2 linked regions of the Styela clava genome follow. The protein of the gene in region 1 interacts with the protein of each later gene in a biochemical or structural test. Links are inferred from orthologs where the notes say so. Each region holds a gene or a part of one and is shown in the gene's direction. Other genes may lie near its edges.

What was found. The genes of interacting proteins can lie anywhere in the genome.
Region 2: the proteins of ubiquitin-conjugating enzyme E2 N-like (region 1) and ubiquitin thioesterase OTUB1-like form a complex in vitro, tested with the Homo sapiens proteins (6 studies listed by BioGRID and IntAct, with this or other methods). The link is inferred for Styela clava from reciprocal best matches to the Homo sapiens genes UBE2N and OTUB1.

The regions. Positions count from the first base shown.
Region 1 is NC_135258.1:13,558,623-13,565,137, forward strand, and holds the start of ubiquitin-conjugating enzyme E2 N-like, read left to right. Parts: upstream 1-2,445; 5' UTR 2,446-2,620; coding exon 2,621-2,653; intron 2,654-2,900; coding exon 2,901-3,002; intron 3,003-4,133; coding exon 4,134-4,278; intron 4,279-4,854; coding exon 4,855-4,995; intron 4,996-5,898; coding exon 5,899-5,954; 3' UTR 5,955-6,515. UniProt on the Homo sapiens protein: The UBE2V1-UBE2N and UBE2V2-UBE2N heterodimers catalyze the synthesis of non-canonical 'Lys-63'-linked polyubiquitin chains. This type of polyubiquitination does not lead to protein degradation by the proteasome.
Region 2 is NC_135260.1:14,938,338-14,944,852, forward strand, and holds the start of ubiquitin thioesterase OTUB1-like, read left to right. Parts: upstream 1-3,000; 5' UTR 3,001-3,060; coding exon 3,061-3,139; intron 3,140-3,778; coding exon 3,779-3,840; intron 3,841-4,046; coding exon 4,047-4,145; intron 4,146-4,540; coding exon 4,541-4,659; intron 4,660-4,994; coding exon 4,995-5,079; intron 5,080-5,880; coding exon 5,881-6,075; intron 6,076-6,515. Other genes in the region: protein SCO1 homolog, mitochondrial-like, read left to right, coding at 28-864; NAD-dependent protein deacylase sirtuin-5, mitochondrial-like, read left to right, coding at 1,466-2,362. UniProt on the Homo sapiens protein: Hydrolase that can specifically remove 'Lys-48'-linked conjugated ubiquitin from proteins and plays an important regulatory role at the level of protein turnover by preventing degradation.

The DNA.
Region 1 (6,515 bases):
TTTTAATTTAAAACCATTGTTTCCAGACGGCGTGTGTATTTCTGCAATTCTGTACCCCGCAATACAAAACCACGTTGCAACCTTATCATTTCATCACTAAAATGCTTTACCAGGCATTTTTAGTTTGGCGTCGAAACAAAAGCACGTGAATTGACTTCGGTGGGTGAATATGTGTTTTCCATTTCATTGATTTGAGTTTGTCCCACCAAGTCCAGTTTAATCACGTATTGATCAATCTTCCTTCAACTTTATACAGATATAAAAACCCAAGTAGTCAGTTTTTATGTGCCCAATCAAAGAGCTAATAACGACAATAACATTTATCAAAACGATCAATATGTACACTCTGTAGTCAATAATACAAAAATGCTACGAATTGGATAATTCCTTGAAGGTATATTTCACCCAGCCGGAGTTATACAATTTACTACCAACTCTTTGACTTCCTTTTTGTGACGGAATGGTTAACTGGCGAGAAGTGACACCTTAACCAAGGTCATCATCTTTTTTTCCCTTCTGTGGCATAACTTTAAAATCCATGTTATTTTTCGCAATCTCGGTTCATGATACGCCGAACTTCAACTAGGGTATCAATATGGACTATCTCAGAGAAATATTTACCCAATATTTCAAAGCTGAGTTTATAAAAACAAATTGCCGTATGATTAGGCTTACCATATATCTGGAACAAAAAACCGGGACAGTGCGGATCGGACTAACTTTGGTTCGATTCTGAGACTAAGTAATATCTGAAACTTCTATCATATCTTTGCAAGTAGATTCCGGGCATTGAATTATCTAAATAAATTAATTCGTACGCGCAGTCGCCAAACATTACCGTATTTATAAAAGCAGCAATTATTTGAACATTTCAATAATCGACATAAGAGAGACACGGAATGATGTTGAATTCAGTTTTAAGGTAAATGAGCCGCAAATCCTTTGCCGGTCTCGTAAAAGCTCGTTTCAGTTTTATTTTTGAGTTTGAAAAAAACATTATTGTCCCTCGTCTTTCTACGCGTCCATTTGGCACTTTGATAATTTATCGACAGGTCAGTTAACATTGTGTGTCAAATTATCGCAAAATATAATACCTATGACCAGTGGCGTAGCATCCACCCCCGCGGTCGCGGGAGGGCAAACAGCGCAAAGGGGCCCAAGCGGTTAGAATTTAGAAATATAAGCCGCAAAACCAAAAGCTGCATTGCAAAACCAGGTAATCTGTTAATGCACATCTTATAACGTTTATGTTAGTTCTGCTCAAATCGTTTTGTTACGTAACAATGCCAGGGAGTCGTCGATTTTTCGCGTCTTGTGGTTTGTTCGCACCGGCAAAATTACGAAGGCTGTCAGAATGATGTCGAGAGCAAAACCTCTCAGTGGCGCACAGAAACGCAGAAGAGGGAGCACGTATGAAAAAATTAAAGTCACCAAGATAAACGGCAAATATTAGGTTACCATTGCCTTTTAATAACAACATGCTATGCTTTTTGACGAAATAAAAAAAGCGTTTTAGCTTATGTCCGAGAGTTTTTAGGGTCATTTCCACGAGAGTCTTGCTACGCCACTGCCTATGACACAAAACAGCAGTTTTCTCTCCCTCTGTTAACTAGTGAATAAGAGATAAATTGGATGCTTCCGTCAAAAAAATAACTTGTGATAATATTATAAAAATTGTTTTTGACTGCCACGCTACATAACCGGGACATTTAAGTCTACCGGACGGGACGCCGGGAAAGCTTGTCAAAACCGGGACTGTCCCGGCTAAACCGGGACGTATGGTAAGCCTACGTATGATGTATAACGTATATATACGAAGGTGGAGAAATAACTTGAGAATCAGGGTTGTGAAGCTGGAGTTTGAGATGTATTCCACGTAGTCGGAGCGAACGTCGTGTTTTCAAACACCTTCGATGCTAGAGTGGAAATTTCGTATTCGTCGTAGTTATAATTTCAGATTTTCAATGACCTGCATGCGGTTTTTGTTACCAAATTTTCTTAAATTAAAACTCAATTTCATTTTTCTCATGGAAATCGAAGTCAGAGCAAAATTTCTTTAATCCGGAGTCGGGAATCGGGGAAAATTTGCAATCGACTCCGACAGCCAGGGCGAGGGTCTCGCGAAACAACGGTGGAAACAGGATGAACATTCTAGTATGATAGCTGCAGAGTTCCGAACTTGGACTTCCTTTACTCAATAACTTAGGTTTTTTAATATACCAGTGTTGGTTTTGCATTTTGAGCCACTTATACAAATTACTGTAATACGGTACCGGTACCTATAGCTGAACAGCTGGTGTACCAGTACGGTAGCTAGATAGACTGAAACATGATACACAACATGATAGTCAGTACCAGAGTACGGTACTGTGATATCGAGGCCTTTGTTTCGTTTTTACAAATTGTGATGGCTGTGATAATTCGTAGTACAGTACCGGTAATAGCTAAATTTTAAATTCAACTTTCAGGGTATTAAACTCTATCTAGCTCATGTAAATTAGATCTTTGTCAATTTGTGTGGTTGTTTAAACTTAAAGACTTTCTCAAATACCTGAATACTCGCTATTGGTCATCGAACATTGAGTATATTGGACACCTGGGCACATATCAACAATAATACATGGCTGCCGGTATCCCCAGAAGAATTATAAAGGTAGACTATTCAACATCTTCTTTCAGTTTCAATCAAATCTTCTTCACAGTTGTTTAGAAAAATCCTGAATGAAATAAAAAAAGATTATGCATGAAAGAATGTTTTTGACATAAATATACTGTATAGTATATTGTCTTTAATATATTCTATGGATCTTAAAGTATTATTTATCCATTTATGAACAATGTAATCATGGTTGACAAGTCTAAATAATGCTTTCTAATTAGATTGCCTTGTTATTTTTCAGGAAACACAAAGATTAGTGTCAGATTCTCCACCTGGCATATGTGCCATTCCTGTTGAATCGAATGCGCGCTATTTTAAAGTAACAGTCGTAGGTCCACAAGATGTAAGTTGTAAATAATTAGGTTATATCAATCTTTTCAACTACTTGATCTTCAGCAATTTATTTGGATAATGGTTAATTAGCATAGAGTTTTCTAACTAACAATCTGATGAAACAGTGGCACGAAAAGCTATTACTCGCGATAGTATTAAAGAAATGATGTATAAGTAGTTATTCGCCTTGTATACCTAGATTCACTTTAGCACTGGGGTACACTCGGTAGTGGGATTCAAATTTTTGTCAGCCGGTTCCATCACAAAAGTCATATTTTTCAGCCGGTTCTGTTACAAAAAGTCATAATTTTTTAGCAAGTAAACTGATTATTTTAAATTACTTCCTAATTACCATTTCAAAATTTTCAATGATGTTGAGGATTGTCGATATTGCTGATTTGCTGTATATAACCGGCTCAATCCCATCACTGCTAACAGCCACACTAAAAAGCAGCAGTCGTCTCATGACTTTTACCTATGATGCAACAATTCAATTTTCAGACAAACAATCACAAAAGGAAAATTACTACAATTATAAAAGTTAACACAATGCATAACTGTTACGTGTGCGAACTTGATCATTTCACATTTTGAAAAAAAACATGAGCTACTTGATCCAGAAAATCGGTGTGTCAGATAAGATGCAAAAACCCATTGACAGTAATCAGTAATGCTAACCGGTTCTTTGATCTCATAAAATTCTGTAAGACGGTTCTATAGAAACTGTGCGAACCGGCTGAATCCCACCACTGGGTTCACTGTGGCATATCAATTAGTTATTCCAAAATATTATTACCGTTAGATACGAATATGATTGGTTGAACCCTTATATCTGTGATATATTAAAATATAATGGAAGTTTTAAACAAAAATATGATAAGCAAAATATTAGGTTGTGGAAATCCTTGACCAGAAGTCTAATTATGAATTGATCACGGCTCACTACTAAATGAATTTAATGATCAAAAACTTTTCTGGATGGAACAAGTTTTAAAAGTTGAGGAAAACAAGAACATAGTGTAGAAAAAGTATTGTTATGCCTAATTCGACGATTTCTGCTCACCATAATTTTCTCTATAAAAATAATATGTAACTTTAGTCGTATCATTTACAATTAATCATTTATTCTTTTTATTTGTAGTCACCATATGAAGGGGGTATATTCAAATTAGAATTATTTTTACCTGAGGACTATCCTATGGCACCACCAAAAGTTCGTTTTATGACAAAAATTTATCATCCAAATATTGATAAACTTGGAAGAATATGTCTAGATATTTTAAAAGGTGATGTCTTTTTTGATTCTTAAGCTTTGAATTAACCCTGAATTATTTTTATGCTTGACATAGGAGCTTGGCTCGACGGTGTGGCACATCATGCTAAGCGTCAGGAATACTCACACCAACGCACCTCTGATTATCCTGCATGGGTTCGCAGGTTCAAATTCCAGGCAGGGAGAGTTATGTGCGAGAGGATTGCTGGACTCCTCGCCGCCGTCTGGTGGTTCGCGTAACCGCTAGTCATATACGGCTTCCTCTACCTATAAGTCCATGCTTCTAAAAAAATAAAAATAAATGGCCAACTAATCCCATACTCGACATGGACTGGTAACCGGGGCGAGAGGCTTTGTGGTTCGCCATATGATTAAGCTGTCTTATCGGCTTTCTTCTCCCCCAGGATAAATCCTACAAGTTTAGTCCCCAATGAAATTACACTGCAATGCCACTGACAATGTAAATTTTTCTGTTAATTTAAGATATCCATGCCTGGCAAGTCAGGATGTTACAATCTTGAATCAAAGTTGAAATATTATGAAAAATAAAACAGAATGTCCAAATTAACATTTTGAATCCATTTTTTAGATAAGTGGAGCCCAGCACTACAGATAAGAACGGTTTTGCTTTCAATACAAGCTTTATTAAGTGCACCTAATCCAGATGATCCTCTAGCTAATGATGTTGCAGAGGCTTGGAAACTAGATGAAAATTCGGCAATTAAAAAAGGTTTGTGTTTTTTTTAGTTATTCTTGTGCAGATATATAATTTATTTGGTGCTCCATAAGTATGTGTACCAATATGGAGGTAAAAATTTTGTTTGCCTACTTGTGTAAAGAGACTGAAGCCTATGGGCAGGGGGTATATAGTCTCCGAACTCGTAATTGAACTAAAAATAGGGAAATTCGAAATAAAATTATAGCCTAACCCGGTACACATACTACAGGGGTACCCTTTATTTTGTATATACATGTCATTTTTCACTTTTGGGCCACAGATACCTTCCAAGAAACATTTTTAAGTGGGCCACAAATCCATTAAAAGTTATTGATAGTTCAGTTAAACTTTGATTGTAGTAGCAATGAATGATGATGCTGTTTTTCAATTATTAAAGTGGAAATGTTTATATTCACGGAAAGCATTCTTTGTAGTTTTTCCATATACGGTACATGAGTTAGTTGATGGGCCATAGAACTTTTACGCAATGAAAGTGGGTCACACAAGAAAAAAGGTTGAGAACCACTGGTACAGATTCTTCTTTCTCAACCACCAACACACATATACCTGGAAAGTTGATAACTGAATGAGAAACCTTGTTCGTCGATCTATCTTTTTCTACTTCATAATCAACATGAAAGTGACATAGTACTAAGGTGCAATAATGTCTCCGCTTCAACATTGAGTATACTAATCATGAGTTATCCCAGCCCAAATAGTCATTTCACAGTTATCCTGTCCATTCCGGGCAAAACCTATAAATTTTATTTACCTTGCTTTTATTTTACTGTGCTCTTTTGTCTGAATGGCTAATAAAAAGGGGTTTATATGATTTATGTTTTATGAATGTCATATTATAACCTTTTGTCTATTTGCCACCTATCTAACTATACTTAAATTTTCATTTATTTGTAGCTAAAGAATGGACCAAGTTGCATGCCAGAAAGAATAATGATAGCTCAAAGAAATAAAAGTTCTCGGAACCTTTTTCCTTGACTCTTTGCACACTGTTTTCACCTGTGCTGCCGTCATTTCCCTATGTGTTCATGTCTTTGTTACAATTATTTTATTATTATACTATTGTGATGTGACCATTAAGAAATGACATTAGATATCAGTCAGTCCTGAGTAACAACTCTGCAATCAGTTTTTTGTCTTCTCCATCATCACATCTAGTTTTTTAGGTTAGAAATAATGGATCATATTTATGTACAATTTTAACTTTGTAAATTTGATTGAATTTAATCCCGATGATGCAAATTTGAAAAAGTTAATGTAAAGCATTTGTTTTTGATGTATTCATTGTTCAGGGTTTATTTATGCCAGTACTTTAATCATTTCATGTAACAATATTTTTCACAGCCTATTAGGATCATTCACGTATGATATAAACGCACCTGGGGTTAGTTAATTCTGAAATTTCAATCTGTAAAAATGTTCAATAATACTACAGTTTCTTCGGTGAGCTGTGATAAAACAATTTCATTGAGTGGAAAGCGGAAGGAAAATTAAATTGTTGATGGGAAAAGGTT
Region 2 (6,515 bases), on another chromosome or scaffold:
TTTATTTTTGTGTAGAAACATATAAGAATGAGGTTACTGTGTTTGCTAAAAACTATATCCCCACATTGCTATGCCATACAGCATCGTACTTACGGAACATTGGCCAAGTCAAAAAATATATGTTTGAACTTTGTAAATCCATCAAGAACAAAAGTATTTCAAAAACAATTCTCTACCTCAGGAAGACTATATTTTCCAATTCGAAAACGTAGGTCGCCAACACTAGCACCTGGTGTAGGTTGGATGTCTGTGTTGTTTATTGCAACTGTAGGTTCTATTTCTATCCTTATTATGAAGCATTTCAAGTCGAAAAAAGAAGAGAAATTTGAATCTAATATGATAAAGTCAATGGGAAAACCAGCTTTAGGGGGAGATTTTACTCTTATAGATCAAGACGGCAAACAATGCAGTAATCGCGACTTTTTAGGTCAATGGGTTCTTATCTACTTTGGGTTCACCCACTGTCCTGACATTTGTCCTGAAGAACTAGAAAAAATGGGAAATGTTGTTGATACAATCAAGAGAACTCCGCAGTTGCCAGACGTTCAACCTTTATTTATAAGTATTGATCCTGACAGAGACACTCCTGATGCTGTTAAAAAATATATTGCTGATTTTCATCCTAATCTTATTGGTTTGACTGGAAATCGTGAGCAAGTTGAAAATGCTTCAAGAGCTTTTAGAGTTTATTATGCTGAAGGTCCAAAAGACTCGGAAGATGATTATATTGTAGACCATACTGTGATAATGTATTTATTAAATCCTGATGGGGAATTTTGTGAATATTTTGGTCAAAACAAATCAGCAGGAGAAATGTCTTCAAGTATTTCTTCAATAATGTTAAAATTCAAGCACAAAGATTGAAAAACAACTAATTTATTATCAAGTAGATTCTTATCTGAAAAATGCAAAGCATTATCTTCGTTATAGAAACAATGAAATTCGGGCAAAATTGAATGGTGACCGTACATTTGAACCCACGTACATTTGAACCCATGCGTATATCCACAGGTTCAATCTATATTCGGGTGCTAAAACCCATGGGTTAGGGTTAGTATGGGTTTAACTAACAAAAAAAATTCCATAGGTGCAATAGCATACAGGAGCAATTGTCATGGGTTCAAATGTACGTGGGTTCAAATGTAATGGAACCTAATTGAATATATCTTGTTATGAAAATCTCATGCTGTTGGATACTATCGATTTACAATCTTATAGAACTCTGCTAATAATTTATTATTGGTTTTAGCAGCGACCTTTTATTATATGCATATGTTGCATATTGCCTTTTTTCAGTTATAGCTCCTCGTCTATATGTTCAAACACTATCTCTTACCAAATAGGATAATGCACCCAAGTAGCAATCACCTATCTTAGCAAAATGATATATTTTTTAAAATTCTTATTAATGGCAAATAATGGTTTTTTAATTTAGAAACTAGTACTAATTTAGTGCTATAATAGTATGAAATGTTTTCTACATTTCTCTAATTCATGTAAAAGTATTTTACACCAAATTGTGAAGTCTTCGATATCTATTTACACCATGGCAGCAGCAAGACCAAGTTCGGATTTGGCTGCTTTCCGTGCAGAGTTTGAACGAGCAAAGAATATTGTTGTGCTGTCTGGCGCAGGAGTAAGTGCAGAAAGTGGGGTGCCCACATTCCGCGGAGCTGGTGGCTTTTGGAGAAAATGGCAGGCTCAGGATTTAGCGTCACCAAAAGCATTTGAATCTAATCCATCATTAGTTTGGGAATTTTATCATTACCGTCGTGAAGTCATGATAACAAAAAATCCAAATCCTGCGCATTTGGCTATCGCAGAATGCGAAAGTCGTTTGAAGAGTAATGCTCGGAAATTAACTGTCATTACTCAGAATATAGATGAGCTCCACAAGACAGCAGGATCTGAAAACATTATTGAATTACATGGATCATTGTTCAGAGTTCGATGCACAAAGTGTGGAAAAGTGGATGTGAACAAAGATTCTCCGATCTGTGAGGCATTGAGAGATCGGGGTGCTCCTGACCCAACTGCTCAAGATGCAAAAATACCAGTCGAAAATTTGCCGAAATGTAAAAGTTGTGATGGATTATTGAGGCCCGATGTTGTTTGGTTTGGTGAAGGACTAGATCAAAAAGTTCTCGAGCGAGCAGGCGAAGAACTTGAAAAATGTGATCTTTGTCTGGTTGTTGGTACATCGTCTGTTGTTTACCCGGCTGCCATGTTTGCTCCGATGTTATCTTACCGTGGTGTTACTGTGGCGGAGTTCAATTTGGAGGATACACCTGCAACCATGAACTTTAAATACCATTTTTGTGGTCCTGCGGGAGAGTGGATACCAAAAGCCTTAGCCCCTTGATCTGCTAACTGAGGTCGAATTGACACTTGTATATGATGCAAATATATTGCAGTCAACATGTAATTTATCTTCCATATGTTTTATGATAGCACTTTTTTTTAATTATTCTCCTATACATTTTTACTCCGTACTTATTGCATCTTATGGTACAACACTTTGTAAATTGCTGCTTTTTGCTGGGAGCATATGTAACCTGATGATAAAATCTATACCTTTTAAATATTTCATATAGTGCAATTAGAAATACCGTTCACATCATGTTAATAATACAGAGCAATGTATTAAAATGATGCTATTGTTTATGCTTAACTATGTTAGTCTTTTTTGGATGTCTTTGATTCAAATCATATCACATAAAATATTATAAATGGAGTATATGTTACTATTGTCCCAATGTCCCATAAACATAAATTGCATATTATATCAATGTCCCTCAATAGTCAATAGTATGACATTGTCATGGCTAGGCATTCTCAACTTTTCTTCGTATCATATCACAGAAATATATAAGAAAAATTTTATAATCGTTTCTAAAAACCTTCCTCAATCACATGTCTAGTTCTAGATTATTTTATAATACATATGCTTAAAATGCCCAGAGTGCAATCTATAGACTGTGTTAAATAGCTTATCTTTCTCTGTAATTTTACTTGCTTGACTTTTAGCAGAATATAAATAATTCTTTGTTATTCCATCTCATGATGGCAACCAGTAATAGTAAATCCGATGAAGAAGTCAAACAGGACACAAGTGATTCGGATGGTGCAATTTTACAAGGTATAATGAATATACATGAAGTTTTGATTTTAAGGGATTTTATTATCATTTTAAACTTCGTATATTTCAGATTCAACTAGATATGTAGTAGCCATGGTAAATACCTAGAAAATTTTACTGGAATGGGATTTATTATACCATTAATTTCAAATAGAAGAAGGGTACCCCTGGTATTGGAGAGGCCAGCGTAAGCATTCATTAATGAATCAAAGAGACGAGAGCAATGGTTTCAACCTTTTTTCTTTTCTGGCGCACTTTCGTTGCACAAAAACAATTCTGTGGCCCAGCAACTTTCTCATTCAAGAGAAAAACTAAATAAAAAAAAATTCCTCCCTGCAAAAATAGACAATGCCACTTTTTTAATCAAAATGAAAATTACCACTCAATTCCGGTAAATGATACCAATTCATCAATAACTGATGTCCCATCTAAAAATGTTTCCGTGGGCCATGGCCCTCTAGTTGAGAACCGGTGTCCTAGAGTCAGCTAAATGAAATGACTCAAACTTGTAATCAACAGTGATACCAAAACTCGGAGATCAACTTGGATGACCCATGACACGAGGATTAGGGAATTGTACCTTACACTTCGATGCTTTTGCTATTTTTTTGTATAATATATTCACTTATCATTTTCCAGCAATGCAAAACCAGGAAATTGATGAAGCGATATATGCAATGCATAATCAAATACAGAAAGATGTAAGACAATTTTTTTTCTTGCTCTGTTTAAGATAGTTTTTGAACAAATATGGCATATATGATTTGCTAAACTATCTGGAACCGTTATTTCATAAGTGTTCATGCTGTCAAATCTATCTTCATTTGTGGACAACAGAGTCGCTGTCACCAGGGATGAACAATTCATTGTTTTTACTATCCTCATATTTCTTCCGTTTTATAAACAGATAGCAAAAGAAAACGAATTGGTTAGTGATAAGATGGAAATCATGCAACTACAAAACGAATATGCTGAAGATGATGCTGTATATTTACAAAAAGTGAAGGTATTGTTAGTTAGCTTTCCTATAGTTAGAAAATTGCTCGTTTAATTCAGAATTCATATTGCTTTTTTGGATTATATTTTTGTTGCCCGCTATTGAATTTATGGAAGTAACACTAATAGCTATACTTGTATGGATTTACCACAAATGAGGAAATTTCTACACCAAATAAAACCCCATGTTCATAAATTTTACATTGTGTCTTGTGTAAATTATTTAGAAGTGGTTTTTGAGCATACACATTCTATTAGATTGGAATACTGTGATAAAGAAATGTTTATGTATATATTTGAAGCATATCAAATACATTTTCTCCTTATTTTTATCCAGTTTAAAATAGGGAATCATTACATTTATTATGGCATTCTTGATAACTGTACTTTTCACAAATTTTTCAGATTCTTTCAGAGAAGTACAGCCATGTTAGGAAGACAAGGGGAGATGGTAATTGTTTCTATAGAGCTTTTGGGTTTGGTTATCTTGAGTATCTGCTGCAAAATAAAGATTGTTTTTCTGGGTAAGATTTTGTCACATTGCAAATGAAGACACACACAACAGATATATGCAACAATCTAATAATTTGGGAGATTGCCATGTTAAAGATTTACAGTTCACAAGTGCTGCGCAATCTTCACACTTAACATCATGCACTAACCGCCTAGTCTCATGGAATATTTCAAATACACACTCTGGTTGTCATAAATAGCCTATGACGAATCAAGAAGACTTTAGTACTTCGCCTACTTCCATAAAAATATCCCTATAAATGACTCCTTAATCCTAATCAAAGAATTTATTACTGTATATAATATACTAGATTGATTATCAACGTGTTGCTCTTTATTGCACCAGGTTCAGAGCAAAAGCTTCAGAAACCAAAGACAAATTAGAAAAATTAGGTTATCCTTCATTCACTGTGGAAGATTTTCATGATCAAGTAAGTTTCGAAAATATAGCATTAAGCCCATGCATATGAAACAATTAACTCACTAGCCAATCCCATACCGGGTCAATTCAGAATACTGAATCGTCTGGAGTTCGAATCCAGAAGGATCTGAGAACAGGATTCGGTTCCAAGCGTAAATTTTTTTATTACCGGTTTCTACGTATTGAAACTAAGACGAGCGTAAAAACGGCAAACATACCACAACGAGTACTCTTTATTGCTACATTTTCGCGTTTTCCGACTTTACTATCTCACTTGGCGATACTCACTTTACCATGTTTCATTTTCCATTAAATGGTTTTTCGCGGAAAGCCAGATGTTAAATGCTATAACAATGTTTACGATCAATTAACATCAAATAATATTTGCGAGTGTCGTAATTCAAATACTGTACTTTTATGACACGCCTTCTCTTGAATTTCATTGTCCTGAGAAATGCCTGTTTGGAATGAAATAAAATGTACAAAAAAGATAGTAATACATTAGGCTACAATTTTACTTTTTTAAATTTTTAATCAAGCAATGTGATGGGGAATTCTCACTCACACAAATATTGGTAACTATGGAAACAGAATATGATTGGATTGAAGTATTTTAGAATAGTAAGTCATTGTACATTGCCCATCCTTACAGCCATATCGACATGTGAGCGAACGAGAGGCCATGTTACACTATGTGATTAAACTGATGCTTTTTGCCGAAGATGCCATGTTAATTGCATAGTAAACTTTCAGGGGAGTTTGTGAAATAGTTTGCATTGATCATTGCCTTATTTCATTTTTTTCTCTTCAGTTTATATCAGTTGTGGATTCTGTAGGATCTGGAATAACGGTAGAAGAACTTTTGCAAACATTCAGAGATGAAGGAATCTCTAATTATTTAGTTGTTTATTTACGATTGGTTACTTCAAGTCATTTACAACAAAACAGTGAATTTTTTCAGAATTTTGTTGATGAGTATAGAACTGTTGAAGATTTCTGTAAAGGGGTAAATTCAATAATTATCATTTCTTCTATTGGGCAATTTTAGTGGTTAGGAACATTTTGATCCAGTTAGGAGTTTTAATTTTTTCGTCTTCAGTTGATAAATGATAATAGATATCGTCTTGACAAAATTTTTTATACAATGTAAATATATCCCTCTCACTCCGAACAAGATCATGCTCAAGCAAGCACAGTTATGTAAGGGGCTGCTAGAGTCTGGAAAAAAACGGATTTTTCTGGTTCCACGTTGCCTACCCAATTTTGATATCCTGGGTGGTGGGTATGGGATTTTTACTTGTGATGTCATCCTAGATTTGTCCAATGCTTTAATTAATAACCATTAGACCACCATGCTGAAAACATTCATGTGCATTTATTACTGGTCAGCTACAGCTTCCTCAGCCGATTACATCCATGCAGATGAAATAATATTAAGAGTCGTTA